Linked DNA regions of Notamacropus eugenii. The protein of the gene in region 1 interacts with the protein of each later gene in a pairwise test. Links are inferred from orthologs where the notes say so. Each region holds a gene or a part of one and is shown in the gene's direction. Other genes may lie near its edges.

Region 1 (7,965 bases):
CCTAACCATATGATTACATACCTGTAACTCTCCAACCAAAGCACTGCCACTCTTCTGCCTGTGTTGTCTCCAATTAGAATTTAAGCTCTTAATGGTGTGTATATTCATGGGAGAGTGTGTCCCAGGTCTGGGCAGCTAGTCTCTGGCAAAATGGCTAGAGCACTGGGCTTGGAGTCAGAGAAACTCATCTTTTTGAGTTCAAATCTGGCCTCAGACACTTACTAGCTGTGTGACCCGGGACAAGTCACTTAACCTTATTTGCCTCTGTTTCCTCATCTGTAAAATGAAGTGGAGAAGGAAATAGCAAAACACTCCAGTATCTTTGCCAAGAAAACCCTAAAATGGGGTCACAAAGTATCAAAAACAACCCAACAACAAAACAAATGTCCTTGAACAATAGGTGAAATATTCTACTGCTATTTTTTTTTTACCATATTCATTCTTTGAATGCCTTTTACCCTCCACTAATTGTGTTCACTAGCTGACTAGTAAAAGTAAACACAATAATGAGGATTTGTGAGCTATAGTTCTGACTAGTATGGATTCTCAGAATACCTTTTAACTTTTCTAAATGGACCTATTTGCAAGATGGTGGGTGTCCCAAGTACCATAATATACAAAATCACATTTATATATTATTGAAAAGTTTCCAAAGTATTAGACATACACCATTTCATTTAACAGGAGTGGGGAGGCACCCTAGGGACTGATCATCCACCCTCATCCCAGAGGGAGCAAAGTGAAGCAGAATCAGATGACATAATGTGCCGGTAGCCACCTTTCCAAACCTTCAGTCCCTCAGTTCTCATTCCATTAGCACTTCAGAAACTCAGAGGAGAGAGAGAGTGATGTGGTCCAGAGCTACACAGAGTCAGAGGAACTCAGTTCAAATCTTGCCTCTGATGCTTGTTACTTGTGTAACCTTAGGCAAGTTTAATTTTCCTAGACCTCAGTTTCCTTGTATGTAAATTGAGGATGTCGGAGATGGCTTTGGAAGTCCGTTCTGGTGCTGAAGCTCTGACCCCGAGGTATCCTCCGGTTTGTTGTTAGATGTGAAGACTTTTCCTCAGTGTCCATCCTTTTGGACCTCCTCATAGCCTTGGATATGGTTGACCACCCCTTCCTCCTCAGCATTTTCTCCTCTCCTGACTTTCATGACACAATTCTTTCTTCATTTTCTTCTCCTTCTCCTTTGCTGTACCATTATCCATGGCCTTAGCCCTAACCATAAGTACTACCTCCATTCTCTGTCCTGAGCTGCCTTCTCTTTTCTCACTGTCTGCTCTTGTTAATCTAATTAACTCCCAGAGGTTCAATGGTCATTTCTGAGCTGCCGATTTACAAGGCTTCTGTCTGCCAATGACTGTTCCTTTGGTTTGTTCAGGGCCCAAAAACCCCTCGATACCTCCTGCCCTTCTGAATCCTCAACCCTTTCACTCTGTTTTTTCATTCCCCTCAGCCCATTCTCCCCCATCTCCCACAAATCTCATGTCCCTTCAAACCATTCAGTATATAAAGTCAGTACCTCTGGACTCCCTCCCCCAGCCTTTCCTCTCTCAGCCCTAGCAACTCATGCCACATTCTTTGGTCCTGCCATCACCTCATCTTTCTTAGCCCCTTAATTCAGTTATATTCAGCAAACATCAGGCATCTACCCTGTGCAGCACACTATATTATGTGCTGGGTCTATGAAGATGACATGGAAAAAGTCCCTGCCTTTCAGGATGTCACATCCTATTGGGAAGATACAGTGTGGATACAGAGAAATAAATACAGTATAGACAATACGTAGTGGGTAGGTGCACCCACCATAGGTAAGGGGTTTTAAATACCTTGCTCAATTTGACAATTGATGACCTTTGTTCCTTGTTGCTCCCCAATCCCATGCTTCTGCTCCAGCTGCAGTGCTTTTTCCAGATGAAAGGGAAAACAGTTAGAAAAACAGCATTTACATGTAAAATGATACAAAGTCAATTCAGGAGGCAGAGAGTACTAAATAACCAAGTGACTAGCCCAGGTTCAAGGTACTCTGTGAATCTGAACTCCTAAAGCTATGGTGCATGATGTGTTTACCTTCAGAAGTCAGTCCAAGGATACAATTAGCTCACAGCAAAACAAAATAGCAGACTTAAGAAAAGCAGAAACATGTCTCCTCCGTAAATTTGGGGTATACTCTGCCACCAGGCCACCCAGCAGGATCAGGAATATTATATGCACAGAGCATGCTGGAGTGTGGTGACAAACCTGGAAGGAACTACAGCTGCAGGGTACCCTGTCCATCACTTGTCTCCTTGTCCTGCTCCATCTCTGCTGGGCCCCTTGGGACTTCTGTGGGATTGGCTGCATGGTACTGAGGCAAGGCAAGCCTCTAAAATCTTCAGTTTTGGTATCCATTGACATCCAGGCCTAGGGTACTCTCAGAAAGAGTTGGAGTCCACCATTGAGGACCAGCATGAGTCTTGGTTCAGGGGCCTACTCCCTCACAATCAAGATCCTTACTTTAGTTCCTTTCAAATAACTCAACAACTCCACTTCACACCATAGCTGTCCCTTGCTATCAGCCCTCCCTCACTCAAAACAAAATCAAGTGCAAGTCATGTCATCATTTCTCTGATGTCATGGTCTTCTTTGAAAGCGAAGGACAAATGCAACCCCTTCTATGATGTACTTTGTCTGCAAGGGACCACTGCCAATGAGAGGTGGGGAAGGATGAGAAATAAATTCTATCTCCCCATTTGTTGCAGGAAGGAAGGAAGGGAAGGACAGAGAAAAGGAGAGAAGGAACAAAGAAGGGAAAGAACGAAACAAGTATTTATTAAGTGCCTACCATGGGCCAGGCACTGTGCTAAACTCCACAAAATATCTCATTTGATCCTCAAAATAATTCTGAGAGGTAGGCGCTTTTATCATTTCCATTTTATAGTTGAGGCCAATAGAGGTTAAGTGACTTGCCCAGGATCAAATAGGTAGTGTCTGAGGTGACATTTGAATTCCGGTTTTTCTGACTCCAGGCCTAGCGTTTATATCTTGTGATTTTACCATGTGGATCAGTGAGACACAATTGAGCAGGATTATCCTGATCAACTCCTTTCCCCCAAGTGCTTTAAGGATATCAGTTTTGTAATTATTAGAACAATGAATTAGAGATGGGTGAGACTGAAAAGAGAGAGATCAATTAGAAGGCTAGTCCAGGAGAAAGGAAATGAGGGCCTTGAAGTGGATGGCATAGAGATATTGATGTAAAGATGTTATGAAGACAAAATCTGTTTAAAAGAAATTTATTTATAATTCATTTGTTTTCTTTCCAGTTTTGAATTCTCTCCCTTCCCCCCATTAAGAAAGCAAGAAAAACAAAATCCATTGCATCCACACATGTGTAGTTAAGCAAAGCAAATCCCTGCATTAGGCATGAGGGAGGTAGAATCTTAAAAAAATGACAGCTTCCCCAGCTCCCTGGACCAGAAACCATGTCCTGGAACACAACCCTTTTAGCTCAGGTCCCTGAGACCCTGATTGGTGAGGTCCTGGCTGTGGCCCACTAAATCATGCCAGCTCCACTCCCCCACCATTTTCTCACCAGCTGCCTCCAAACCCCTGCCCCTCTAACTCTGGGACTGTAATCAGATCAACACTGCTATTGGAAAGAATGAGTCAATCTACCTCCCTGGGATGGTGAGGGTCAGAATTAGGAGACAAGTTAAGTGAGTGAAGATAAAGGAGACAGATGCAGAGATGGAGGGAGACTCTGGACGAGGGTTCACCTCCCTCTGGTTCTTGAAACCTGTAACATCCTTATAACTATCCAAACCAAAATCCCCTTCCCTGGTTTCCCCTTAAGTGGTTATTTCCCTTTACTAGAATGTGAGCTCTTTGAGAGAAGGGACTATTTCCCTTTTGGTTTCCTATCCCCAGAATTGAGCATAGTGCTTGGCACAAAGTAAGTGTGAAAGAAAGGTTCACCTTATACCTATCAGTTACTTAAGAAATGTTCGTTAGTTGACTGGTTGGTATTTCATTCATTTATTCCCTAGGTGCACTTAGTACCTATGTGCCTGGCACATAATAGGTGCGTAATAAATGTGTAGTGGATTTATTGGATCCCAGAATGATGGAAATGCCAGGATGACTTGAGTTCAAGTTTCTCTTCCGACACATGAAACTATGTAATCTTGGACAAGTCTCTTAATCTTTTCCTGGTTTGTGCAGCTCTGGACTCTGATTTGCAGAGAAGGAGATGACTCAAATTGGCGGAGATAATTTCCACATTTCACTAGTTCCCTTTACTAATAAAACCACAGGCCTAGTCTCTATCCCCTATCATTTCCTGGAAGGGGGAAACTGAGGAAAAGAAGCAAATGAGAGAGTAGAGGGAGTAGTGCTCTGTTTCTGTCTTTTCAGGAGCAGGACTTACTGCTCCTGGGATATGTACAAGGTTAAGGTGATAGGAAGAACCTACAGAGGTAGTATTATAGATTAGGTTGTTTTAGCTTCCAGATGAGGACACCGGCCCCATTTAGGCATGGTGCAAGTTTCCTGCCTCCCAAATGACCAGTAGGTGGGGCACGTGTCCCAGTGGTGACTGAACCTCAAGGCTCCCAGGTCTGCCCTTCGAAATTTTGGGGTGTGGGCTCCCCAGAGTGCAGACACCCCCCCCAACCTGTCTCTCCCCACTCCCCAGGATCTGTAAACACTTAACTTTTTTAAAGGAACAACAACTGATAGGGTCTTGGGCGTAGTCTGAGGGAAGGGATGATTTTGGCTCCATCTAGGACCCCAAAGTGGCTGGGAACCAGGGAGACCTGGACCCCAGCCCAGGCAGCGCTAAAGACTACAGACAAAGTAAAGCCAGTCCAAGCAATAGGACGAGGGAGAAGGAAGAAAGGGGCAGGTTGGGACCTTTCGCCCCATCCTTCTCTTTTTATCCCAGCGCCTCAAAGAGTTTTACAAGGTGGGAACTGACTTTTATGGGCTCTGAGGTAGAGGTCTCCAGGCCTGGGACGGAGGTGAGAGTAACTTCCCAGTCCCTCAGGGCAGGGTGTCTGGGGTGGGGGCGGGGGAGGGGGCTGGGGCCGATCCAGGTGGAAGTGAATCAGGTGGTAATTAGGCCTGTCTGAATCCCAGGAAATGGAATGGAGTTAAACGGAGTTGAGCAAGGCGGGACGAGAGAGCTGCTAAGGCAGTGGGGCTGGGGACCGCTCCACCAGCCAAGGTCGATCTGTCTCTACATTTCTGATGCAGAGGAGCTGGGGGCCTTGGGGTTTGGGCAAACCGGGCCAGGAAGCAGAGGGTTTTTTTTGGGGAGGGGGGGTGGCTAATGGAGCTGACCGCAAGGTGGCCTTGGAAGAGGTCAGGCTGGGGTAGGATCGAAGCGGCTCGGTTCCCCCCTTCCCTCACCTCCCCCCGCTCCCGCTCCCCCGCCTCCCACCGCACACCCTCTTGTCCTTGTGGCCGGAGACCATTAGTGGCGACAAGGTAGCTGTCTGGAAACTGGCCCTGTACTCAAAATAACCGAGTGACCTCAGCCTCCTGTCTCCTCTTCTGTGTGGTCTGGTCTGGGGAGCAGGGGAGGGGAATCTGGCCATGTCCCTTTAAGGGGGGAAGGAATTTGGCAACGGGTTGGCTTCTTGGGGAAGCAGAAAAAGCGTCTCGTCCCTTTAAGAGATTGGGGGGAGGGAGAGAGCGGGAATGAGGGGGTGGGAGGTCCCAGGAAATCAGTTGGAGCTGGATAATGAATGGGTTAAGTGGCTGGAGGTAGCTCCGGGGCTTTAGAAAGAGTCCTAGGTCTTTAAAAGGGGGTGGGGTGGATGCCCCTCCCCTCCCACTCGCGGCCCCACCTCTCCCCGACTTTCCATTCCGAGGTTCGGTGGCGCTGGGGAGGTAGAAGGCGTGGCTAGTTTGAGGGGGCGGGGCTATGCCGGGCCAGGGGCGGGGCCTGGAAGCGGAGGGCGGGGCCGGGCCCGGCCGCGCTGGGCTGGGGCAGTGTCTCGGGGCTGGCGGCGGGAGCAGCATGGATTGGGGCTCGGAGCTGTGGGTGAGTCTGCTCCTGGCCCCCCCCCCCCCGCTTCTTCCATCGGCACCCCCCGCAGTCTCCTCGGGGCCCCCTTCCAGTTTTCTCCTTTGCCCCTGTCCCGGTTCAGTTCTGGCCCCCTCCTCTCCTGTTCCCCCTCCGGGTTAGTTCTCTCGCCGGCCCCCTCTCCCAACTCTCTCCCCGGCCCCCTGGCATTTCTCCTCCATTTCTTTCCCATTCCCCACCACGTTCTCTCCTAGTTCCCCCCAGTTCCCTCTCCGTTTCCCCCGCGTCTATTCCGGTGCCCCCCGCTCAGTTCTCTCCCCCTAGCTCAGCCCTCGGGCAGCTCTCTACACTTGGATTTCAGCTTCTCTTCTCGTCCCCCTCTCCGTCTCTCAGTCCCCCGCTTCCCAATGTTGTCCCAGTTCCTCTTCTCCTCTTGCTTTCTCCTCTCGCCTCCCGGTTCCTTGCCCAGACCCTCTTGCAAGGTCTCTGCTGCCCCTCCCCGGGTGCTTCTTTCCCTGTCCTCTCCTAGTCCTTCTAAGCCCCTACTTTTCTCAGTTACCTCTTTCTTTCTCCTGTTCCCTCTCCCGTCCCAGTATGCTTCTCCTCTTGTCTTCCTTCCTATCCCTCCCCAGTTTCTCCCACTTGCCTTCTTCCCCACTGGAATTCGAGTCCTGCCTTTTGTCACCGGCCTCGCCGCCCTTTTGAACTATAGGGTTGGAAGGGTGGCAGAGAGAGCTAGGGCCAAGGAACTCTTTCCCCTTTCCCTTGTACTGACCTAGCTGACCTCAACCAGTTATTTATGCCGCATTTCTAAAGCGCCCTTTGCCAGTGGGACCCTGACCCTCTTGTCCCACCCACACAGGATCCTAATATCTAAGAGGGCGTATATTCCTGGGTCTGTGCGTGGAGGCTGGACTCTGGAGTCCTATAGGGATCCCTCTCCTTCCCATACTCTTCATAGCCCTGAGGAGGCCAGGCCTGGCTAGACTTGGTGGAGGGGGACTAATGGTCCTGGAGAACCAGAGGATTTTCCAGTGGTTGGGACAGACCACTCAGCAGCTGACCCTTGATTTTTGGTGGGTAGAGTTGGGGGGACTTGTCAGTAGTGACCCCTCCCTTGGCTTGAGCTACTGTGTTTACATCCCTTGCTCTCCTCCCCCTCCCACCCCCCCAACAGGAAGTGGATTTCCTTCCCAGCCTAATGCCTGGGCCAGGGATCCCAGCCCTCCCCCCACCCCACCCCCAAAAGGCCCAGTCCTTAGGCTGCCTGGGTCCCTTCCCCTGGCTGGGCCTCAGGCCCTCCTCTCCCCTGTTTTGTTTTCCTTACCCCTGGCCCTCTGGCCCTCTTGTCTCTCTCCCTCTCCCTGGCAAACCAGTTTGTCCTCGATGGATGTCTCATAGTTTGGCTCCGATCAGCCTGGACCTCTGGGAGGGCTTCTAATCTCAGGGTGGAAGGAAGATTCCTCTCCACCCCTCCAACCCCTAGCTCTTACTCTGGCTCTCCCCCTGCTCTCCTTGACTCTCTGGCTTTGGGAACTCCTGGGATAGATAGTGTGATAGATTGGAGGAATGGAAATGGGGAGGGGGGACACTGACTTCATGGACTCTTGGCCTCAGGGCTCAGTCAGGCGCTCTGACCAGCAGCAAGTGGTCCCAGTTGCTGAGGCCTTCCCTTGGAGAAACACATGATTTTTGGTGGGTCTTGACCCTTCATGGTCTCAGTTTCTCCACCCTCACTTTTGGGCCTGGGCTAGATAGGAGGAGGATGAGCTGAGGCCTAGGCTGTACTGGGGGCTCTGGAACTAGGGTCATTCCCTAGGAATTAAGTTGTCTTGCCAGATGAAAGGCTCGTGTGTGTGGAAAGCTGGAATAGGTCACCTATTTTGAGCTCCCTGACCAGGTCAGACCCCTTCTTATCTTACTGGGTCTCTGGGTCTTTGCCCAGGGGCAGC
Region 2 (7,896 bases), on another chromosome or scaffold:
CTAAAAGAGGAACCTGGGACACAGTTTTTGTGAGGAGGCAGTATGGAAAGATGGCCTGGGGGTCAAATTGTGGCTCAGCCACCTATTCCCTGGGCAAGTCATTTCTCTCTCAGTCTCAGTTTCTTCTTGTATAAAATAAAGGGGTTGGACTAGATAGCCAATAAGGTACCTTCCAGTCTAGAGTTAAGACCTTATAACCTAAGGCTTCTAGGCTGTTTCATCTGGAAGCATCTCCTGAGGTTGCCTAGTCTGAACCCAGTGAGGTAGACTCACTTTACAGATAAATAAACTGAGGTTCAGAAAGGTCAAAGTAGCTTGGCATAATGGAAAGAGGAGGTTTGGAGTTTTGATTCTGCCACTGATGAACTCTATGGCCTTGGGTGTCTTATAATCTCTCTGAGTTTCTGTTTTTTCATCTGTGAAATGGGGGCAGTAATCCTCCTGAGTAAAGGACTTGGTAAATCTTTAAAAGGTGTAGAAACACAAGTTTTTATTCTTTTGCCCAACATTATATCCAGATCATAAGCAGCAGGACTGGGAGCCCAGATAGTCTAATTTCAAGTCCAGCAGGTTTGATTTTCTAAATCATACTTTGTTGACTCTTTATACAAGCATGAGCCAGGCACAGAAGATATGAAAAGGAATGCTATCCCACAGTCTATGTTCTGCTTGAGTATGCTGCTTCCCTTGGGTCATATGATATGATCTGGGGGTGAAAAAGCAGGGCCAGAACCCAGGAATTCTGAACTCCCTTCTCCAGTCTAAACAGTCTATACTAGACCAGGATTTCACTGTCTGAAGTCACTCTTGGGTCCTGGTACTGTGGGATTTCTTCCAGGAAGCCACATCATGATGTGGAGATGACCCTGGGTTCATAGATGATATTACATGTACTGAAGTACCTACTATGTGCTGGGGAATACAAGGACTGCTCAAAGACCTTCCATTTGCTTGGAAAGGCTACCAGCCACCAGTAGATGATGGACCATGTCTGTCAGCCAAGGATTGACTGAGTCATCTGTTTCACCTTCATCTTCCCCCATCTCGGATTCCCCATCTGCCTCCTAGTTCTAAATCCTATGGTCCTAAACCCATGGTCACGGAGTGAGGAATATTGTACCCACAGAAGCTCTCGGAAGCCAGTTGCCAAATCACCAAGGCCTCTGTTAAAACCACCCCCACCCCCACAAAATCAGAGGTGCTTGAAGTAAACCATGAGGCTTAGAGCTAAAAGGGACCAAAGAGCTTATCTAGTCCAGAGCTCTTAACCCAGGGCCAGTGAACTTAAAAACATGACAACTCTCTCAATATAGTTGCTTTCCTTTGTAATCTGGTGTATCTTATTGTGTATTTAAAAACAAGATTTTAGGATGGGCTCCACAGGCTGACTGCCGAAGGGGTCCAGACTACCAGATAGACATGAAGAACTCCTTCATTCATTCAGTCCCTGCATTTTACTGAAGACAAAACAGCAGCCCAGAGAGGAGAAAAGGCCCTCTTGTCCAAGATCCCACAGCCAGGGAAGGAACACTCAGAATTCAAACCCAGATCCTTGACTCGAAATCCCAGACTCTCACCCCAAGCAAGTGCCCGGAAGCACGAGTTTCTAACTGTTAGAACTAAAGCAGCAGTGAGGTGATTTCAGCCTCCTGGGGAAGTTAGCTGGGACCCGCCCTTTCTTCCTTTCAGAAAGGCTTCCACTCTCCACTTTTCAGTGGGGGAGGGGAAACCTCGCAGCCCGTAGGCTTCTTGCCTGTCCCCCCGCCTGAGCTTTTGATCCTCCAGCAGGAGCTCCCTTGGCCTCTGGCTCTGTTTTCATACCCCTTGGAGATCTTTGGGGCTGGCAGGAAGTAGTTAGTCTGTGACAGTCTTCTAATCAGCATCTGAGGCCTCCCCACTGGGGATCCTGCATTTCCACTGGGGAAAGACCTGGGGTTGGAGGGACCACAGTTCAATACTCTGTTATTATTTGCGGGGTGATTTGGGGCAGCTGTCTTACTCTGGGTTTCACTTGCTTCATTTAACATAAAGGGGTTGAACTAAATGTTTATAATTCATGGAAGGGATCTCCAAGGTCAAATACTCCATCCCTTTCATTTTACAAATGGAGAAACTGAGCCCCATAGAGGCAAAGGTGACTTATCCACTGTCAAAGAATCATAAAATGAGAAGTTAGAAGGGACCTCAGAAGGCATCTGGTACAACCTCTTCATTTTACAGAAAAAGAAACTGAGGCCTAGGGAAGTTGGACGTTTTGAGCAGGGTCCCACAGTAGTAAGAACAGGGGATTGAAGCCAGGCTTTCTGAGCGTGGGCCCAGGACACCCTTTCCCCTGCGATATCTCTCTCCCTAAGGCCTCCACCCCTTCCAGTTCTAAATATAAGACCCCATGATCCTTCCTCTGATCTGGGAAGTAAGGAGAAAAGGAAAAGAGAGAAGAACCAGAGAAGGAAGAATCAGGATTCTGTGATCAAATAGATGAATATCAGGCTCTCTGGCCACACTGAGCAGCTCGACTAGTGGGGGGTGGAGACTCAGGCTTGTTCCCCACTAATTCGCTGTGTGCCTTTGAGAAAGGTGCTAAGTGCCCCTCACCAAATTTTTCTAGAGTCTAGACCTTTGTTTTCCCATCTAGAAAATTAAGGATTGCATTGTGGTATTGTTAACCAGATCTGGATTGGCGGTGGTTGGGTCGGATCCTGGGCAAGTCTCTGCTCATCTTTGGGCCTCAGTTTCCTCATCAGCAGAATGAGGGAATTGGGCCACATGACCAGTGAGGTGCCCTGCAGCTGTGACATGTTACCTATCTCCTGGAAAGTTAATGAGGTATTAAGGGGAAGGAGCACTGGCCAGAGCTCCATGAGCTAAAGGAATGGTAGAGTCTAGATGAGGTTTGGGGGTAGGGTGAGAGGAATCTATAGCTCCCACTTCCCTCCCCAAGGGGCCCTGGTGGGAAGTCCCCTGGGGTCAGTAGCATATTACATTGAGGCCCACTTCCTCTTCCTGGTGCTTGGTGCACACCCCATGCTGCCGGTGCACACCCCGTGCTGCCGTTACTCTCCCTTCGAGGTCCCAGCAGTCCCAGCAGAAGATGGGAAGAGGGGGGCACTGTGGCTGTGTGAGACATGAAACATCTTTAGGAAGGAAAGCCCAGCTCTTCAAAAAACTCAGTATCCCTGAACTTCTGTGAGGTCCAGGATATGCCCATTTGACAGATGAGACTGAGGCTCAGAGGAGGGAAAAGACTTGATAAGAATCTGGCAGTCAGGTGTAGAACCTGGTCTCCTGGTCCCATCCTCTTTCTTTCTTTTTCTCCTTTTTAAGGTAATCTTAGTTTTAGATGCCTTACAAATTTCTTGAGTAGCCACTTAAGGTTTTATATTTGCAAATCTTCTGAGATATATATGTAATTCTCCCTATTTTATAAATGAAGAAACTGAAGTGCAGTCATAGGAGTTCAGATCTAGAGTTGGAAGGAATCTTAGAGGTCATTAAATCTTATCCCCTTATTTTACAGATAAGGAAACTGAGGTCACAAAAGCAATAAGTGGCAGAAGTAGGATTGTGAAACCCATGACCTTTGACTCCAACAAAGCTCCCTCTGTCCAGGGTCACAGGTGCACTGTATGTATGTAGCCCATCTAGTCAGGGCCAGAGTAGAGTCTACTCTGAAGATTGTGACAGAGAAGCTGTGAATTTCAGCTCTGATATCTGTTTGTCCTTCACTGCCATCAGAGAAATGATGACATGACTTGCATTTGACTTTTGTTTTGAGTGAGGGAGGGCTGCGCAGGTCACCAGCCTCACTTCTCCTCCAGAGCCATCTGAATCCAGTGACCAGATATTCATCAGGATGACTGGGGATGACTCAGGATGAGAAAATTGGGTTTAAGTGACTTGCTCAAGGTCACACAGCTAGTGAGTGTCAAGTGACTGTGGTGAGATCTGAACTCTGATACTATCAGTGAGACTGAAGCCTGGGTCCCTCCTGTTCCGATTTCTCCTTTTATCACAGTTAATAACATGTAGTCAATGCATGTTGAATCTAATGGGATCAGGCCAAAGAAAGCAGATGGGACTCACCCTGATCCTCTGGTTCCAAGTCAAATTGTCCCCTCATAATTTTTATCTGTCCCCCAGAGTTGCTTCCAGTGTAAGTGGGGATGGAGATAAGGAATAGGAAATGCTGAAAACACAAACTGGGAAAAATAGAAGGTGGAGGTTAGCCCACCGATTAGAATGTGTGTTGGGGAAGGGACAGCATCGTCCAGACAAGATCCCATGAATGGAGGGATTCTGGTCATTGAATTTGAACTGGAGAGGGCTTAGACATTATTTAGATTGAAGCCCCTTCATTTTTGCAGATGAGGAAACTGAGGCTCAGAGAGGGGCAAAGACTTGCCCAAGGTCACACAGCAAGTCTGCCTCGGTAGAGCTGGATTTAAACCTACGGACTCCATCTGTAAATCCAGCGCGCTCTCTGTCACCCAAGAGAGTTCCAGGTCCCAGGAGCCGCCCGAACAGGCCCTAAGCCGAGGGAGTGAATGGGGGTGGGGGGAGCACCGTGCCCGGGTCAGAAGCAGGCCCGGGCCCCGTGCGGGCTTGCCCCCTCGTTTCCCCCTTTCAGGTGCGGCCCAGGAGTTCTTTCTGTCCGCCGCAGGTGGGGACAGGCACAACTAGGGGGCACTCGAAGGCGGGACGGGGGAAGTCAGCCAGACTGGAGTACAGGCAGACGGACAGACTGACAGAGCGAAAGACGGAGGAGTGGGGGTGGAGGCACAGTTAGCGGAGGAGGGTGGTGACCTGGGTTGGGGGAGGAGAGAGGGAGAGGAGAGGCCGGACCAGGGGGAGGGGGAAGAGGAGGAGGAGGAGGAGGAGGAGGAGGAGAGAGAGACAGAGGCTCCGCCAGGAAGAGAAAAATTGCCTCCCTCCCTGCCTTGGACCGGCCGTCAGTCCCTCCGTCCGCCCGTCCGTCTGCCGGGGCACAGCTTAGCGTGCGGCTCGAAGACTCCTATGAGCAGCTCGGGGGGCACCCCGGTCTCTCCAGCCCTCCCGCCAGCTGGCCACCCCAGCCCTCGAAGATGATGAAGAGGCAGCTTAATCGGATGCGGCTGCAGCTGTCCCAGACTGGGGGCTCGGGACGGTGAGCGTGGCTCTGAGCTGGCAGCGGTGGTGGGAGACGCGCGATGTGTGTGTGTGTGTGTGTGTGTGTGTGTGTGTGTGTGTGTGTGTGTGTGTGTGTGTGTGTGTTGGGGGGGGCAGAATTAGGGTTGAGACCACCAGTTGCCTCAGTGGCAGCCAACACCACCCCAAACCCCAACCCTGGGTTACAACCTGTTCCCTTTGCTTTCTCTTTCAACACCTCTTCCCCCCCCCCCCCCCCCCCCAAAAGAGGGCCTCTGGGAAGGGAAGTCTCGTGAGGTAAGGCCCCGACTCGGTGTAACCCAGAGCCGCCCCTCTCCCCGCCTCCCCACTCCTTCCCAACCGAACGAGAGGTTTGGAGTCCTCAGCCCATCCCCCCCAAGATGTTACAGAAGGGGGTCCGGCTTGGTTAGGAACAGGAGTAATCTCCACCCATGGAGGAGGGGACTAGGAGGGACTTTAGAATTTAGGAGTCAGAGTTAGGAGGGGCCTTAGAACAGAGAATGTCCCAGCAGCATGGGGCCTCCCAACTCACATTGTAAGAGCTGGGAGGGCTCTTAGAAAAAGGAACTTCAGAGCTGGGAGCCTTAGAACCTGGAAAGGCAGAGTTGGGAGAATCCTTAAAAAAGAGATGTCAGAACTGAGAGGTCCCTTAGAATCTGGAATGTCAGAACTGGGAGGAATCTTAGAACGGTTCACTTCAGAGCTTGCAGAGTTCTTAGAACAGAGGAAGTTAGTGTTTAGAGCTGAGTTTAGATCTAGTTTAATCCCTTCATTTACAGCTGAGGAAATTAGAAACTGTTCCCTAACCTCCCCTTGCCCGCCTCCTTTCAGGTTTCTGTAGTTCAGAGTTTTAGAGGTGGGGGTGGGGCTAGCCCTGAGCTGATGGAGGGGAGGGTCAGGGACAGGATAGCTAGCTTCTCACTCTGCCTGGGACTCTGGGCTAGTTTCTCCCATCCACCTCCCCCAACCCCAGTTTGGACCACTTAAAGAACTGAAGGTTTTAGGACTCTCCCTGGAAAGGAGCAAGCAGATAATGGGACTCTGAGACCCCAGGAGACAGGGGGGAAGAGGAGAGTCTGGCCGGACCCTGGCTCCTTGGAGACAATGACCCCTGGGGGACTTCTTAGAGGGGAAGAAAGCCTTCCAAGAGCTTTTATTCCCATATGCCTTTGTTTTTCCTGTCTCCAACCCCCTTCTCCCCCCCAGGATGTCAGTCCTCTGAATTCTGCTTTGCTTTTCCCAGGGTCAGGTAAAAATCCAGTCCCATTCTCAGGGCTAAGTTTCTAAACATCTGCTTTACAAAAACCAAAACCAGATGGCCTTGCCCTGACTCCCTCCCCATCCCCTCATGGGACCTAGAGTTCTCTTATGTTGTGTGTGGTGGTGGTGGTGCTGGAATAACTCACTGGGAGCCAGGATACCTGAGTTGTAATCCTGTCTTTGCTACTTACTGCTTATGATACCTTGGATAAGTCATTTCTCTGGACCTGTTTCCTCATCCTTCAGATAAGGGGGTTGGGCTCAGTGGACTCTGCAGTTCTGTGACTTCAGTGTGCGTTATGGGCTGTGCTGGAGAAGCTGGGGGTGAGGGAGAAGTGAGGAGAAAAGAATCTGCATTTCAATCTGAGACGGAGTTTAGAGGCCATCTAAGCTAAGCCCCATATTTTTGTTTTTGTTTTTTTTTTACAAAGAAGGAAACTGAGACTTAGAGGGGAAGTGATTTCAGATCGTAGCTTTAGTACTGTAAGAGATTCCAGAGACCATTTAACCCAATCCATGAATTTTACAGAGGGGGACACTGAGGTGCTTTAAGATTATAGGAGCATAGAAGTGGAGTTGCAGGGGACCTCAGAGGCCATTTTATCGATGAGGCAATTGAGGGCAGATTGGCCCAGAGCACTGAGACAACATTCAAACTCAACTTCTTTTTAGTGTTTTCTTCTATCCCCGAAGCGAAGCTATCCTCCCTCCCCCCACTTCCTTCCAGACTTTACTCCAGCTGTTCCCTATCATGGCAGCCCTTACAGGTTTGCTCTGGGGGCCCCTGAGAAGCCCTTCCTGCTGCCCTGCCCTGAGTTCCCAGGTGCAGCTCTGGGTGGAGAAGGAAGCAGCCCGACTTTGGATTCCCCACTGCTTTGGAATGTGCTCTGGCTGGAGGGGTGTGGGGAAGAATGAGTGAGAGACAGCGATCGGGAGGGACTGGCAGAATCCTTTCTGAATGGACAGATCAGCTAGGGTTCCTGTCCTCTCCACTCTCTTCTCAATCCCCTTTCAGCTCTTAGTTGGTCACCCTGAAGTGCCCCCCCACCCCAGTCCAGACTTGGCAACGGGATCATAGATTTGGAATTCCCAGGGGTCTCAGAGGACAACTACTTTGACTGCTCATTTACAGACAACAGGTACAGAGAGATGGCCAGTGACTTGTCCCGAGTCACACAGCTTTCAAGGCTACATCTTCCTTATTCCAAGTCCCCTACATCATGATATCTGTCAGGGAGTTCTGGGGAAGCAGGAAAGCAGGTGGAGTAGAGGTCTCCAAATTCTCCCCTCACCCAGTCTCTCTGTCCCCACAGTGTCCAAGAGACTGCTGAATTTCTGAGCGAGGACTTGCTTCAGGTATGGATATGGGCTCAAATGAAGTGAGGAGAGGCAGGCCTGTACAGGAGAGCAGAGAGGCAGAGGGAGGTAGCCAAATGGGTGGGATGAGTCACCAGAACCTCCTGGACTGGATTTCTTTTCGAAGGAAGATGT
Region 3 (7,761 bases), on another chromosome or scaffold:
AACACAGGTTAGACCATGTCACTACCCTCTTCAACAAGATCCCATGGCTCCCTAGTTCCTCTAGGACAAAATATAATCTCTGGCATTTAAATCTCTTCATCTCTCCCCAGTCTGTCTTTACTGACTTCTTACACATTATTCTCCTTCACACTCTATAGTCTTAACTAAAAGGGCTTATTGGCTACATATACCTTGTTCGAGACATTTTATTAGCTTTTGCAGACAATTCCTCATGCCTCTAATGTACTTCTTCATTGCCTCTGCCTTGAATCCCTAAGCAACTCCCTTTAACATTTAGCTCAAGTGCTGTCCCCCAGGGAAGCCTTTCCTTGTCATTTGTTCTCTTTCCCCAATTACTGGTGCCCATGTTATTTCCCATTTACATTGTATACTGTATTTGTTTATGTAGTATGTAGCACATGTTAGTACTCAATGAATAATTGTTGATTGAGAAATAGATCTAACCTAAAGACATGTTCTTTCCCCTTAAGAAATTTTCAGTCTAGCTGGGGAGATAAGAACAACACATGTGAAACAGTTATAGAATAATTTAAGATCAGTGTTGAGAAGAGAGATACAGAAGGTGGGACCTTAGTTGGGCTTTGAAGATGGTGGAAAGGAGGAGGGAAAAGGGAAGAAGGCATTTTAGATGAGAGTAAAGACTTAGAGGATGGATGTAGTGTTTGTGGGACACTGAGGGTGAAGATTTTGTTTTGAGTGTTACTGGAGAATGTGGATGGTGAGGTGGTAGGGTGCAACCATACAAGGCCTTCAAAGCTAGCTTAGAGTTGATTTGGTAGCAAAGAACATTTGAAAATTTTGGAGGAGAGGACTGGCATGATGTTGAATGAGTTAAAATGCACTTAGTAAGTTCTTACCACAGGTGAAGACATATAAAGTTAATGCCTTGGATACACTCAAGGAGTCCACATTATGGTAGGGGGAGACAGCATGTATAGGAGTAAGTTGGAAAGGTCCTGTGATCTTTAGGGTTCAGCAGTGAAGTAGATGGTCATACATTTTTCCTTAATATCATTTCCATTGATGAAACTGTGAGGTTGAGCTGTTTTGACAGTTCTAAGGACTTTGAGAATTATCTTTTCTGAGTTGTCTCTAGCTCTGGTTGCTGCAGAACCTGCAGAAGTAATTTCCGGGTTACCGTTCTATACAGATTAATTCCCTGGGTGATGGCTGCAAGAGCTAGGTTAGAAGCAGGGAGTGTGAAATGGGGGGCACAGCTGTTTACTAGATCTTTTGAGCACAAAGTCCCCCCAGGGTCTGAAGAAGGTGATAGTTGATGCAATGGCAATAAATGTTCTCTTAGAATTTGTGACAGAGGAAAGGAAGGTTACACATTCAAATGATTGTCTCAGATTTTTTTTTCTGAATGACAGTTTTCACAGGGTATAGATATATAGGATCCTATAGCATAATTTATTCAGTGCAAGTTAGCTTAGAAAGGTTGGAATGCTCTCACAATTAAAATAGCAGCTCACAGTTATATAGTACTTGACAGTTTACAAAGCTCCTTCCTCACAACTTTATTGAGAGGGCAAAAATCTTGTTGATCATAAAGTAATGTAAGAAAGCTTATTCTGACAATGCTATACAGAATGGATTGGAATTGGGGGAGATGAGTTGATGAGGTCAGCTATAGAGGGTTGTTGCAGTAATCTAAGCATGAAATGACTAGCATTGGCCTGACTTGGTGACAGTGAAATGGAAGGGAAGGAGTATGAAAGATGTCTCAAGGAAGACTAGTAGGGATTTGGTAATTGCCTGTAGAAAATGAAAATAAGAATCAGTCAAACCTGATTGTAAAGTTTCAAGTCTGAGTGACTAGGAGAATAGTGTTGCCATTTTCAAATCCAAGTGGTTTAACAATCATATTACTGAGCACCTGTTTTGAGGGAGGCATGACATTCAACCCTAAGGGTTTTGTACAAAGATACAATACAATATATAAGATACTATATATATATATATATATATATATATATATATATATATATATATATATATATATACACACACACACATATATGTGTATATATATATATATACATATATATGTATATATATATATAAAAGACATTTCTGTTTTCAAGGATTTTATAATCCAGTAGGGGAGATAAGACATTCACAAATAACTATAACAGAAAATGGACTGTGATAGGTGCATGAGAGCTATTTTCTATAGTGCTATGTAACATTTGAGAATAGAGAGATACTAACTATCCTAGAAGTTGCAAGTTGATCCTTAGGAGGAAGGGGGGGAAAGGAACAAGCATCTATTAAGCACCTGCTGTGTACCAGGTGCTGTTCTAAGTGCTTTACAGTTGTTACCCCTTTCTAAAGGGAAGAGAAATATTGTGATACTCAATTGATAACTCAAAAAGAGTAGACAGATATGGAAGAAAATAAAGAGCCCTTATTTAGAAAATTGAACATTTCATGTTAATTCTGAATTAATCTGCAGTACTTTCTTATTATGCTTTAGGAAAAATAGTGAAATAATAGTTGACATTAACTTTATAGACCTGGAATCTACAATAAAAAATTCTCAAACTATAACTGATACATGAACTGCTATTTAGAGTTAGAACTATATTGAAAGAAATCTAGATACCTATCATTTATATAGCTATTGTTCTAACTTCAGATAGCAATCTTAATCATCTGCATTCTTCAGTAACACCCAAACTCTTTACCATAGTTAGATACTTCTCATTGTCCCACAAACACTACATTCATCCTGTGACACACACAGTTCCCCTTATCTAAAATGTCTTCCCTTTTCATCTCCTTCAAAGACTGACTAAAGTACTACTTTCTCTGACTACTCCAAGTTACTTGTACTACTCCAGTATACTTGGATGTATGTAAAATTTATATATAATATTATATGTACATATGTGTGCACTCATACATATATACACATACATCTATGTGCATGTGTGTACACGCATATACACACACAGATGGGTAGACAGCACATCAGAGGTGGTAGTTAGCTCTTAGTCTGTTGAATTAACCAGAAATAACCAGGAAAAATGGACAGTGTATGGCAATGATAATGACAGCCAATTACCGTTTTGTGTTTCTTTACTTTGTTTCACACACTATATACATTGTTACGGTAGATTCCTTAACATTAAAATCCTCTACTTCATTGTGACTTGGCATTCTCTGGGTTCTTGAAGGTTATAGCAGTAGAAATTAAGGTCTGGCAGATGCTGCCAATTTGGAAAGTCTTGGAATATGGGATGTATAATAGATTGTGTATCTCCTTTCCATTTTAGCTAAGTTTGCATAGGCTTATTATATTAGATTATATTAGATTGGCAACAGGGTAGTACCTCTTATTAAACACAGCAAGTTTTTACCATCATCTGAGATGTCACCGTGGGTAATGATCTGCATTGGTGGATGAATTGCAGGGATTGAAAGTAGTCGAATATACTTCCTGATTTTAGTCTTTCATCCAAAATGTTAATTCTTTTCATGTGCTCTAGATAATACTTAGGAATACTAGAACAATAACAAGATTGTAGGATTTTAGAATTAGAACATATCTTGGACTTCATCTAGTCCAATCTCTAACAAAATTTATACAGCTAGGTGGTGGTATCGCTACAACTGAAACTTTACTTGGTTACTTGCCACTTGCCCTGTCAGTCCCTTCTGTGAGCATCATATGTTGTGAATCATTGTTGGTATTCAAGAGGTAAGAATACCACATGACTTTTCAGATTTTTGGTTATCAATGGCATTTTAAGACCTTGAGTTTTGTGTCCAAATCTGTGGGGTAGTATTTTATCTTCTTTATTTAATTTGATGATTTTCAGAACAACTCTGGTGGGTGAGTACTATCATTATTCCCATTTTATAGATGAGGAAACTGAGACTGAGAAAGTGATTATTTAAACTCACATAACCAGTATAGGTTAGGGGCAGGACTCAAATCTTGATTTTCCTATCTCCAAGTCTGGTATTCTATGCACTGTGCCACATTGTTCCCAATACAAATGAAACAGTATTTTCAGGTAGTTTCACTTATGTAATGAGCTGTTTTCTATAGTGCTATGTAACATTTGAGAATATAATGACCTATGTCATTATATTCCTCAAGGAATAAATCTCCAGAGAGCTAAACTTATCTGTATGAAGTCAGCTGGGTTTCTTTACTTAAAAACAACAAACTTTGTAAGTCATGCATAAGATTTGTCTGCATTTCTAACTATATGACGTTAAATTGTTTTTCAGTCATATCTGATCTTCTGTGATGCCATTTGGAGTTTTCTTGGAAGAGATACTAGAGTGGTTTTCCATTACCTTCTCCAGCTCATTTTACAGATGAGGAACTGAGGCAGACAGGATTAAGTCACTTGCCCAGGGTTATGCAGATAGTGAGTGTCTGAAGCCAAATTCGAACTCAGGAAGAATCTTCCTGACTCCAGACACAGCATTCTATCCACTGGGTCATCTAGCTGCCCCATATTATATGACAATACTGCAGTGTATTTGTATTGTATACATTGTATTGTATACAAATACACAACTTGTATTTATATTGGACGTAAATAGGTCTGACTAGACAAAATTGTGTTCATCTTCTGCTTTTCCAGGTTTCTCTTCTTGTATCCTTTATCCACACCATGATAGAGCAAGCGTTCTTCAAAGTCCTGATGCTTTCCTTCATTACCTATCAAAACTGGGGAAATCTGTTATTATTTATGTTTAATTTATGGTAAACTGATGACCACTAAAGTAAGTAGAATGATTTTTGTAAATATGTTATCTCCTTTGGTATTTGTGACCTTTTATCTATAATTGTAGACTGAAAGGCTTTTTCTTTTAAGACATTTTGGCCATGAGTAGGCAAGTGGGGAGTTTATGAGTACAGAGGTGGGTGGGGGTTAGGGAGAAGGAGAGGGTCCGTCCTTAGAGAAACTCCTGAATTTATACCCAGGTTTCTTCTGTTGCCTCCAAAGGCAAACTAGATTGTCTTTTTTTTTTTTTTTGTAAGTGACTGGGGAGTGGGACTAAAGTATATTAGGATCTCCTTCATGGGATGGTCTCATAAATCTTTTGGGGAAGATGACGCAGGAGTTCTGTTAGTAGACGAATCAACACCCTTGGAGGCCTAGGTGAGAGTAGTTGTAGAGGGAAGAGGTACTTGGGATCCTTGATCATCAGTTTCTTCCAGAGCCTAGAGCTGACCCTTACTAGCACAGAAATTTTTCAAAATCAATATGGTGTTAAATATGAGGATTTGGGGTATGTGACTGTTGCATTCCATATTTCCAGTATCTTTGTATATAAAGATGATACTGCTACTCAGATGTACTTCTTGAGCCCATTATCATAGTCCGGGGGAATCCATTCTTTCTGTCAGAAGATTGAACCTTGGCATCATAGGCATTGTCCTTGGACCAGGAGAGCAATGGTTATTAGCTGAATCTTCATTTAGAAATTTAACTAATTAGTGTGTTATATCTAAGTATTCTTTATTGAAAAACATTTAAGTAGTTTCATTTTCATTGGTGAGTCACACTTTACTCCTTATTATTATTTGAGGAATACCATTTAGAACCTTTAATAAAGGCTTAATGTAACCTTACTTACTATATTGAAATCATTGAACTAATCCATGCCTCCTTAGAAAACTGGGGGTAAAATTTTTTTGATTGTAGTGTTGTAACAATGTAAAATAAAGCTTGTCTTGTTTTGTCAGTGGAAGCACTTTAGAAATCTGCATTCTGATACAGTTATTCCTATCAGTGCACTGATTGTATGGTTATTTCTGCACTATCTTCTTTCCTTTATAGATTGCAAACTCCCAGAGGTAGGAGCCCTAGCTTATACAGATCCCTGTGTTCCCCAAAAGCACCTAGCTAGCATTGTCCTTGGCACATACCAGAGAGTCTATAAATGTTTGTTGAATGAGTGTTTGCTTTTTTAAAATATCCAATGTAGCTTTGATAGTTTTTGAAATTGAAATTTGAATGTTTTTTATCACAACCTTAATTGCAAAGACATCTTTATACAAAGTGATAAACAATAGCGGTTAATATATAAAAATATTACCAAGTATTCAAATGTTTATCTGTCTTCCACTGCCCATGTCACTAGGGGTGAAAGGGCTCATTAGTTGGGTTGGGTTTTCCTTTGAGGATATTGTTTGGTAACATTTTAAAATAATGGTGATAGAGGTAAAAACTGATGTACTTTAAAAAGTTTGTCTTAGAACTTTTCAAGTAGTTTTTAGTATCACCTGAAACTGTAGGTGATCTTTTTGTTTGTTTGTGAAATAGGTAACTTTATAGGAGTTTTTATTGTAACGTTACAGAAGTTGTGAACTTTCTTTAACGTTTATGCCAAGAGGAATTGCATATGTTATTTGTTTGTGTAGTTTGTATACATTTGTTATTTGTGATTTATGTTTAATACACAAATGTTACTCTATGGTTTCTGCTAATCAGATTTCAATGAGCATGTTAACTCTGCAGGTAAAGAGACAATCTTTTGAGTTCCTGATTGCTGTTAAATTAACTTTCTATGTTTGTATGTGAAATGTTGATGATTCTTGTGGTAACCCTTGGTTTATTGGTCACTGAATCTTTGCAGTCTGTGAATGTTAATTGCCAATAATGAGCTAATTAGAACAAACCTTTATTCTGTTATATTGGGTTGGTCATCTAAATAAAAGCATAGAGAATACGCTCTCAAATGTAATGCTTTGCCAGATTTAGAATTTTAAAAATCTCAATTTGAGACTCTTCTGACTTGATTCTTCTTACAGTTCTTGCTGAAATAGTGCTGAGTCTGCTGTGGTGCTGCAGCCGCCTCCATAGTGAATGATGCCAGTATATTGGCTTTTGATCCAGCAGAACACAAAGCTCAGCAGGACCAGGCCACTTGTGTTCCTGGTTTGCTTTCCAGGAAGGAGGAGTTTAGAAACCTTCTACTTTGTGTGTCAAGGTCAAGCAAAAACAGTATATACAAATGTAGTTCTGATAACTTGCTCTTTCAATATGTCAGATCCAGCAAACTGGAATGAATGAAGGTTAATTTTGTCTTTAGCATTTTGTGACCGCAAAGAAGCATTGAGTAAACATTTTTTCTAAAACTAAAACAACAGCCAAGAGCTAGCATTAGAAACACAGCAAGCATAATTGGTCTAAACATCCACGCCTTATGGAGAACACAGTTGATTCCTAAAGTTTTTGTTGATTTGTTGGAGTTATTTTCTGTCAAGGCTTTTATTTTCTTAAGCCTGAGATCTTAAAAAAATACCTCAAAGGATGAACATGCAAATTGACCTAAGGACATTGACTGCTACTATAACTCTTTCCACTTGCATTCTCTTGGTGTATTGTATTCAGGGTGAGACATTTTATTTATCCTTAGACTTTGAGTTTTAGCTATTAATAATTGTGACTAGCACTTGGGTTACTTGCTCATTTACTGCTCTCTACAACATCCTAAGTATTTGTGACTCAAATGTAAATTCATTAAAGAAATATAGCTGATATATTTGAATAAGACATTTTGAAACTGAAAATTTTTGAATAATTCTCAACACATTTTGATTGAGGATGCAGAAAAGGAAAAGTCACTATTAATCGTTTTCCTAAAAAGTAAAATGTATATGTGGTTTAAAGTGACTTACATTACTTACCTTGGTTACTGAAGAATTCAAGAAACTAATTATATGAAGGAGTATAGAAATGGGAGTCATGATAGTTGAGTTTAGCT
Region 4 (7,640 bases), on another chromosome or scaffold:
TCTCAGCCTGACCATAAAATCACAGCAGCCTTGGAAGACTATTTAATAAAAGTTATAAATGGCTATGATTTGTGAAAGTTAGGAGAATCCATATCAAGGAAACTATAAGTCCTTGGCATTTTTAAGAAGAATGTAACAATTATAGAAGACATTAAGGAAACCTAGAAAATCAAGAACCACTCTTCTTAGAATTTCACATTGCTAACCAGGTATTGAATATTACTAGCAGTCACAATCCTAACATGGCAATAGATTAAATGCTTATTATCACGTGTCATTCTCTGACCACAGTTTGCACAATGTTGTCATCCCTTCATCGTAGAGCTCATTTCACAAATAGCCAGCTCTTTTATTTAAGGGTAAATTCTAGTAAATATGGAAAGCTGAGCTTTTAAAATTGTCTTTATGCCAAGTTAGATGGTATATGTAAAAGCATTTTGTAGATTGTAAAGGGCTTTTCAGATGCATGGTATCATTATTATTAATAATAACTTATCATTGTCATCCGATGTATCACCTTCAAGTATTAGCCAACCTTAAATTACATCTTCTCTTGGATATTTATCACTCTTAGGCCATTTGGGTGTTCAGGCAAACACAATTAATTAGTAGGAGTAGTAATAGTGATAGGTGTTTAAGGTTTATAGTGCAACATCTATGTTTGCAACACATTTTACATGAGATTCCTGTCAGGTAAATTCATATCATCACCTAATATTGAAAGAGACTCTCAAAGGTAAAAAGACTTGACCAAAGCTCCTGTGAGTCAGTGGCACAGCTGTGATTAGATATTTAAGTTCCTGATTTCAGTGTTTGAATGCAACTTGAAAGATCATATTGCTTTTGGCACCAAGCAGACAAATGGGAAGAAAAACTTCCTAGTCATCTTCTATGTTTTATTAACTATACTATATTATATTTCCTTTATTCTATTTTATTATATTTCAGTCCTTAACCCATTCTCCTCAACACCGTGAAAGAGTTCAATAATAAATAAACAAATAAATAAATGATGCACTATATTATACAACCAGGTGAGATATAAAGACAAATAAAACACATTCTCTGATCTCATAGAGCTGACAATTTAGCAATGTGCTATGCTCTGACACATCTATAAACATAAATATATTTAAATATAATTTAAATATAGATGTACTTAACAAATATAAACATATTTATATATAAATATGAACATAAACAGATGAAGATACATATAAATAGATCCAGTGGCCATAATATTAAAAAATGATGTGAGACTGGAGGAAGGGAAGATAAAATTTAATGAGTTTAGCACAGTGGCTAGTACATAGTAGGCACCATATAAATAATAATAAAGAGCTGAAAGTCTAACTCCTTTCTGTATAGTACTACTCCTTCCTTTTACAGATAAGGGGAAACTGAGACCTAGAGAGATGAAGTGACTTGGTTGGAATACAGATGGAAGCAGCAGAAGACAGGATTCAAAGCGGTTATCTGACTCCAATATCATTCTGTCTCTGAGTAGGACTCAGTCAGTGAACTGATTTTTGGGTCAATAGCCATGAAAAAGTCGTGCTTTGCGATGTGGCCCCTGTAATTTTCAAAGCCTGGCAATGTTTTGCAGCTCTGACCCTTGAACTTATACTGTAATCTCTTGCTCAAAAAAGAACCATCCTAGCTCTGATTGCAATGTGATTACACTGGTTTCTGGCATTGTTTCCTGATGTTCCACAGCATTATATAAAGTTATGTCTCATTTTGTCCACAGTTTTTTTAAAAAATAAAATGGAACAAGTTGGTCAGAATGTGACAATGCTAAGGAGTTTTTATTGGATGTTTTCAGTTTGTAAGTCTGATTAATTAGTGTACTGGAAAGAATGGTGGATCTGGAGCAAAGGATATGAGTTCAAACCATGACTCTCATTTCCTGCTACCTTAGGTATGCCACTTTATCTAGTTTCTTCATTTATGAGATGGAAGGCTGGAATTAGATGTCTTCTAAGGTCTTTTTTGAATTTAGATGGAAATCTAATGTATTCTTATTTATTTAACAACCACTGATTAAGCAACTATTCTTTGTAATGCACTATATTGCATTATAGGTGTGATATAAAGACAAATAAAACACATTCCCTGATCTCATGGATTTAGTAATAGATTATACTTTGATACTTATATAAATGTCAAGTAGCCATAATATTTTTTAAAATGCTACATGAGATTGGAGGAAGGAAAGATAATGTCCAATGGGCTTAGCATAGTGGCTGGTATATAGTAGGCGCTATATAAATATTTACTCCCTTCCCCTTTCCCCAGTGAAAATTATCAGGCAAGGCTTCATTGAAGGGAGGGCATTCTGTTTAATATGCAACGGCTGAGATGGGAGGATTGGAAATGGGCAGATCTTTACTGAACATAGCAGCAAGTCATTTGAATTGGTGGAGATGCAATGTGAAAGGGGAGCTGTGGGAAACAAGTCTGGAAAGGGAAGAAGGGGCTCCTTTTTTTAATAAATAGGCCATTTTGTGACCATATGTGATTAAGGGTTCTGCTCTAGTACTATAATTGGCTCTGATTCACTCAAGGAAAAATCCCTTGATGATCCAGTTTGGTTTAAATATGTCGGGTTTTCTAATTCTGTGCAGGGAGTTAGACTGACAGGGAATCTTTGAATGCATAGGGCCAACTTGGACTTGGGGTGGGTCTGTAGGCAGAGTTGATCCCTAGACCTCCTTTTCCTCATCTTTTCCCTCTGATACTTCTAAAATCCACTTTATACTATTGACTCACAAGCATGTTATTAATATAGCTTAGACACCACACTCTTCTTTCAAAAACTTTTCTTTTTTTGAAACTAAAAGGCCCTTATAGCTGTTGATCTTAAAACCTGCTCCAATAAAAAGAAATGCCAAAGAAGCCATGAGCTCCCCCTTTCAACAGCACCCCTTATTTCTACTAACTCTTCATCTTTGACATTTCTTCCAAATTTCATATTACCCCAACTTGAGTCAACCCTTTGCTTTTACTCAGTGCTACTGATTTTCCTCAATTTAACTCATAATTTAACTTCAGTTTTTGTAGATGTTTGCTTAGCCTGTGACTTAAACTTAACACTCAGCAATGCCCTCATTCTTTCTCCAAAATAATATTTTAAAAGAGCACCAGAGGGCTTGGATCCTAGATTGGAGGAAGGAGACGATGGGCCCTAAGAGTCCAATTATGCCTGGGCCACTGGGGAAAAAAAACAAAAACAAAAAACTATTCTGTAGCAATAATGACTCCCCTTCAGGATGCCTAGTGAGGTAGATAAACTTGTTAAACAGCTCCTTCCTTCAACCAGCAAATTTGCTTTCCCAATAATGCTGGCAGTTCCATTTATAAAGTAAAGCAGGGCAGAGATTTACCTATTCATTTTCTTTTTTTTCCTTCATCCTCCCTTTGTTCTTAAATTCCTCACTTCTTTTTCCTCCCTACAACTTCTCATCTCCACATGGCTCTCAAGTAGTCAGTCAGTCAGTCACACATTTCCTAAGCACCTACTATGTGCCATACACACACTGTGCTAGCCCTCTGGGGGTACAAAGAAAATTGCAAAAGACAGTCCCTGCTCTCAAGTCTCAGTCTAATGGGGGAGACCACATGCTAACAACTATGCACAAACAAGAAACAAAGAATTGGAGATAATTAAGAGAAGAAAGGCAGTAGAACTAAGGAGAGATTAGGAGAGCCTGGAAGGAGGCTGAAACAAAGAGGAAGAGAATTCCAGGAATGGGGGACTTGATCGCCTTCCTAGACTGATAGGAAATAACCATCCATTCCAGCTGTATAGCATTTAACAACTTTTTAAAGCACTGTGAGATCCATGATCTCATTTGAACCTCATAATGACCCTGAGAAATGGACAGGTCGGAAATTATAATAACCTCTGAGGAAACTGAGGCTCCCTGAGCCTAACCTGCTCCAAGTCATATGGCTAAGTAAGGGAAGGGGAGGAAGCTGGGACCGAAACCTTCATCAGCTGACTGCTAATCTGGTGCATTACAGCACCTTTTATGACCGGAACAGCAGCATGCCACACAAATTGGGTTACAGGGTCCATCTGACCCAGGGCTGTCCCATCAGCCTGAGGTGGGAGCCTCCTAGCATCTCAGCGAGGGCGGGGACTGTCTTTTACCTCTTTTTGAATACCTGGCACATAGTAGGCGCTTCATAAATGTTTACTGAACTGAATTAATTTGTCCAAACTCCATTTGCTTCCATCAGACTCGATCCTGGCCCTGCCTCTCCGGGCAGGGGCTTTCCTCGGAAGTCCGTGCCACTGTCCCCACTTGTAATGAGGGGTGAAGGCTGCTCTTTTCCAGTGTGTGGAGGGAGACGTTTAAATGTCCACCAGGGGGAAAAGCGCTCGCAGGTCAGGGGCTGTAACTTCCCAGGGCTAATTTTAAACCGTTACTATCCCGGCATGTCACCTTAGGAGAAAACGAAACTACCCCAGCCCTGGGGCCCGCGGAGGAGGCGGCCCCAGCCCCCGGGCCTGGGGGAGGGGCGGGCGGCCCCAGTCGGCGGCTCCCGGGCAGGCCTCCCAGACTAGCTCGGAGACGGCCCGACCGGAAGTGACGCGTCTGGGTCCCGGCCGGGGCTGGCCGGGGGGCGGGGCCGGGGCGTCGGCTGGTCCCGGGAGCTCAGTGCGAAAGTTGCTGCCGCCCGGACACTATGTAGGAGCAGGCAGGGCTCGGCCGCACCCCCACTTCTCTGCCCGCGAGCCCCGCCGCACCCCCTGACCCAGGACACGCCGCCTCCCCGGCCCCACCGGACGCCACCATGAAGAAGCAATTCAACCGCATGAAGCAGCTGGCCAACCAGACCGTGGGCAGGCGAGTGACCCCCCCTTCCCCCCACCCCGGGCCATTGCCCCGTACTGCCCCGCCCTGGGCCGGCTTGGTTTCCCCGAGCCCCTGCTGCGGGCTGACCCGCCACCGCCCTCCCCTTCGAACCTGGCGGTGGGCGCGAGCTAGCTCCAGGCCGGGTCCCAGAAGGGTTTCGCCCCCGGCGCGCGGGAGCCTGGCGGGCTCCCCCATCCCCCGCCACTCCCCTGCTCCTTAAGATGGTCCATCCGCAGCGACCCTCCCCGGCCCCGGGCGCACGGGCAGTCAGCCGGCCCTCCTTCTTTCCCGCGTGCACCGCGGTCTCCGAGCCTTCTCTGCTCATGTGCCTGGTTTAAAAAAAAAAAAAAGTGGGGGTTTGGGGGACTGCTGGACTTACCTTTGTTTCTCATCGAGGAGAGAAAAGCAGTGTAATTTCTAGGAAGTTTAGTGTGGGTGGAGGACAGCACTGGCGGGAGGGGGGGGTGTGGGTATGAACTTGAAATCCATTAGAGGAGAGTGAGAAAGAGGAGAGTTTTCACATTTTCAGAAACTTTCTCTAAGATGCTGCCAGCTGATAGGGCCTGACGGTCTAGCGGCTCTGGTCCCTTTCTTGGGGCAGGTTCTTGTTAATTTCACGGTTGATACTTGGCGGTTGGAGTAATTAACAAAGTAGCAACACAGTCGGGTTCCCAGGGATGCATCCTTTTAGTTTTCTGGAGATGTCATTTCGCTGCTTTGAGTTTTGTACCCCACCCAACCACGCCATCCCCCAGAAAGGTGAGACTTGTACTTTCCTCCCGAGACAGAAATTCAACTGAGCTTTACAGTGTTTTGGAGTTAACTTTCTGAGCTTCCTACTGTGTGCCTAGGAGGACGCTATTAATTTCTTGTTTCTTAATAGTGCCTGGTGGTACAAAGTTTATTTTTTAAAATTAAAGAAAGTTCAGATTTTTTTTCCTCTAAATTTAGGGAGGGATTTTATAGCATTTTGGAAAATCACAGACATGCTTCGTGGTCATGAAGCTATCTTCGTGAAGCTATCGGCTGAGAATGTTTTAGAATATGACTGCAACAGATTATTGACTTTCAAAGTTGCTGAATCAGATATATCATCCAGAAAACTTTTTTTAAGTGTCAGATTTGGACAGATTCAACTCTTTTTGCCCTTTTACTATTTTAGTGGTTGTGGCAATGAATGATTAACAGGGAATACTGTAAATTATTAAGTTAGTGTATAAACATTTGGAGAGGACAGAGATTTTGTGATCAGGAATCTTATCTGTTGGGTTTTGGTTGTGGGGTTTTTTTTAACTCTTGGAATTATGTACAAGGTGTCTTGGATATGACAGTGTCTTACTGCCCTTTGAGCTGGAGTGAATATTCAGTGTGAATACACAGAATGGGAAAGGACTTTAGAGAACCACTTGTCTAACCTCCAATTTTACAGACGCTGAAACTGAGGTTTGTAAAAGGAAAATTACTTGCTTAAGGTCACAAAGCCAGATAGTGTAAGAGCTAGGATTAAAACTGAGGTTGCCTTTAACTTCCAAGTCACCATTCCTTCCACTACACCATACTAGTTGGCTTATAATAATTATATTGTTTATTCTGGCAAATTACCTATTTTGTAACTACTGTTTTTTATCAGTTAAATGAAATTGATAATTAGGTTAGCTGCATGATAGACATAATAGACTTTTGTCTGAATTTAACATTTATTTAAAAACTTCCTCTTTGTTTTAATTTGATTTTCACTGTTTCATTTCCTTCAGCTTTTTTTGCTTAGCTTAGTTGTTAAACTCTTCAGTTGCTCCACCCTGCTGTCTTGGTATGCTTCCATCTTATTTTCAGAGTTAACCCCTTCTTCTAAAGAATGTTGGTTCGTTCCTGTGTTACTGGAAAAAATTCAGGCAGGGTACATGTCACGTCACCATTCTGATCCTCAGTTTCCTTGTATATATAAAGCGATGGTCTCTAAAGACTTTTCTAACACCCACAATGTATGTTGGGAGATCCCTTTCATTTCTATCATTCTGTGACTTTGAGTGTAGTCTAAGAATTTGGTGGTTTGCAAAACATCCTCAGAAGCTCTGTTGACTTATTTTCTACAGGATTTACTTATTATTTATATCACTTTCAAGTCTATCCTTGCTGAGTATTATGAAAACAGATTGTCTAATGATACATAGAGCATCCAGGTACCCTATTTACTCAATTAACAATTTTCGCTGTATTTGTTTTCTTCTGAATTACTGGTATTGCAATACAGGAAAAAGGATGCTAGGCTGGAAGCTAGGGGACAGGTTCTCACCCCAACTCTGTCATCATCTAACTGTATGATGTTAGACAAATTGCTTCACTTCTCTGAAATTCCCCTCCTTAAATTGAGGTTGGGTTAGATGCTAATCTCATTCAGCTCTGAAATCAATTGATTCTGAATTTTACTATTTTCTCAAGTTAACACTGATGGAAAGAGCAGTGGATTTAGAAACAGTTCTATTTACTACAGTTTCGAAATTAATTGAATGACTTTCCATCTTGGACCCTAAGTTTTCTCATGTGTGCATGAGGAAGTTAAGCTGGATGATCTGAGGCCCTTCCAGCTCCAAATTCTGTGATCCCGTGAAGACCTGATGTCAACTTACTTTGTGAATTCAGACAAATCTCTCGCCTGATTGGGCCCCAGTTACTCTGTAAAATAATGGATTGGACCAGCTTTTTAAGTATGAAGACACCTCTTTCTTAATGTAAAAAATTCATTCCTCACAGAGTAGAAACATCTTCCCCCCATAA

Evidence for each region.
Region 2: the proteins of TRIP10 (region 1) and SH3BP1 interact in binary tests that used the Homo sapiens proteins (3 or more experiments, as listed by UniProt). The two-hybrid records come from large-scale screens. The link is inferred for Notamacropus eugenii from reciprocal best matches to the Homo sapiens genes TRIP10 and SH3BP1.
Region 3: the proteins of TRIP10 (region 1) and ABL2 interact in binary tests that used the Homo sapiens proteins (3 or more experiments, as listed by UniProt). The link is inferred for Notamacropus eugenii from reciprocal best matches to the Homo sapiens genes TRIP10 and ABL2.
Region 4: the proteins of TRIP10 (region 1) and ARHGAP17 interact in binary tests that used the Homo sapiens proteins (3 or more experiments, as listed by UniProt). The link is inferred for Notamacropus eugenii from reciprocal best matches to the Homo sapiens genes TRIP10 and ARHGAP17.

Annotation. Positions count from the first base shown.
Region 1 is NC_092875.1:75,265,657-75,273,621, forward strand, and holds the start of TRIP10 (cdc42-interacting protein 4), read left to right. Parts: upstream 1-4,949; 5' UTR 4,950-4,964; coding exon 4,965-5,003; intron 5,004-5,934; exon of another isoform or gene 5,935-6,007; coding exon of another isoform or gene 6,008-6,031; intron 6,032-6,342; exon of another isoform or gene 6,343-7,089; intron 7,090-7,965. UniProt on the Homo sapiens protein: Required for translocation of GLUT4 to the plasma membrane in response to insulin signaling. Required to coordinate membrane tubulation with reorganization of the actin cytoskeleton during endocytosis.
Region 2 is NC_092874.1:294,919,058-294,926,953, forward strand, and holds the start of SH3BP1 (SH3 domain-binding protein 1), read left to right. Parts: upstream 1-4,880; 5' UTR 4,881-5,081; coding exon 5,082-5,143; intron 5,144-6,053; exon of another isoform or gene 6,054-7,544; intron 7,545-7,718; coding exon 7,719-7,761; intron 7,762-7,896. UniProt on the Homo sapiens protein: GTPase activating protein (GAP) which specifically converts GTP-bound Rho-type GTPases including RAC1 and CDC42 in their inactive GDP-bound form.
Region 3 is NC_092873.1:466,391,526-466,399,286, forward strand, and holds the start of ABL2 (tyrosine-protein kinase ABL2), read left to right. Parts: upstream 1-4,754; 5' UTR 4,755-6,860; coding exon 6,861-6,984; intron 6,985-7,761. UniProt on the Homo sapiens protein: Non-receptor tyrosine-protein kinase that plays an ABL1-overlapping role in key processes linked to cell growth and survival such as cytoskeleton remodeling in response to extracellular stimuli, cell motility and adhesion and receptor endocytosis.
Region 4 is NC_092872.1:60,714,653-60,722,292, forward strand, and holds the start of ARHGAP17 (rho GTPase-activating protein 17), read left to right. Parts: upstream 1-4,628; 5' UTR 4,629-4,803; coding exon 4,804-4,856; intron 4,857-7,640. UniProt on the Homo sapiens protein: Rho GTPase-activating protein involved in the maintenance of tight junction by regulating the activity of CDC42, thereby playing a central role in apical polarity of epithelial cells.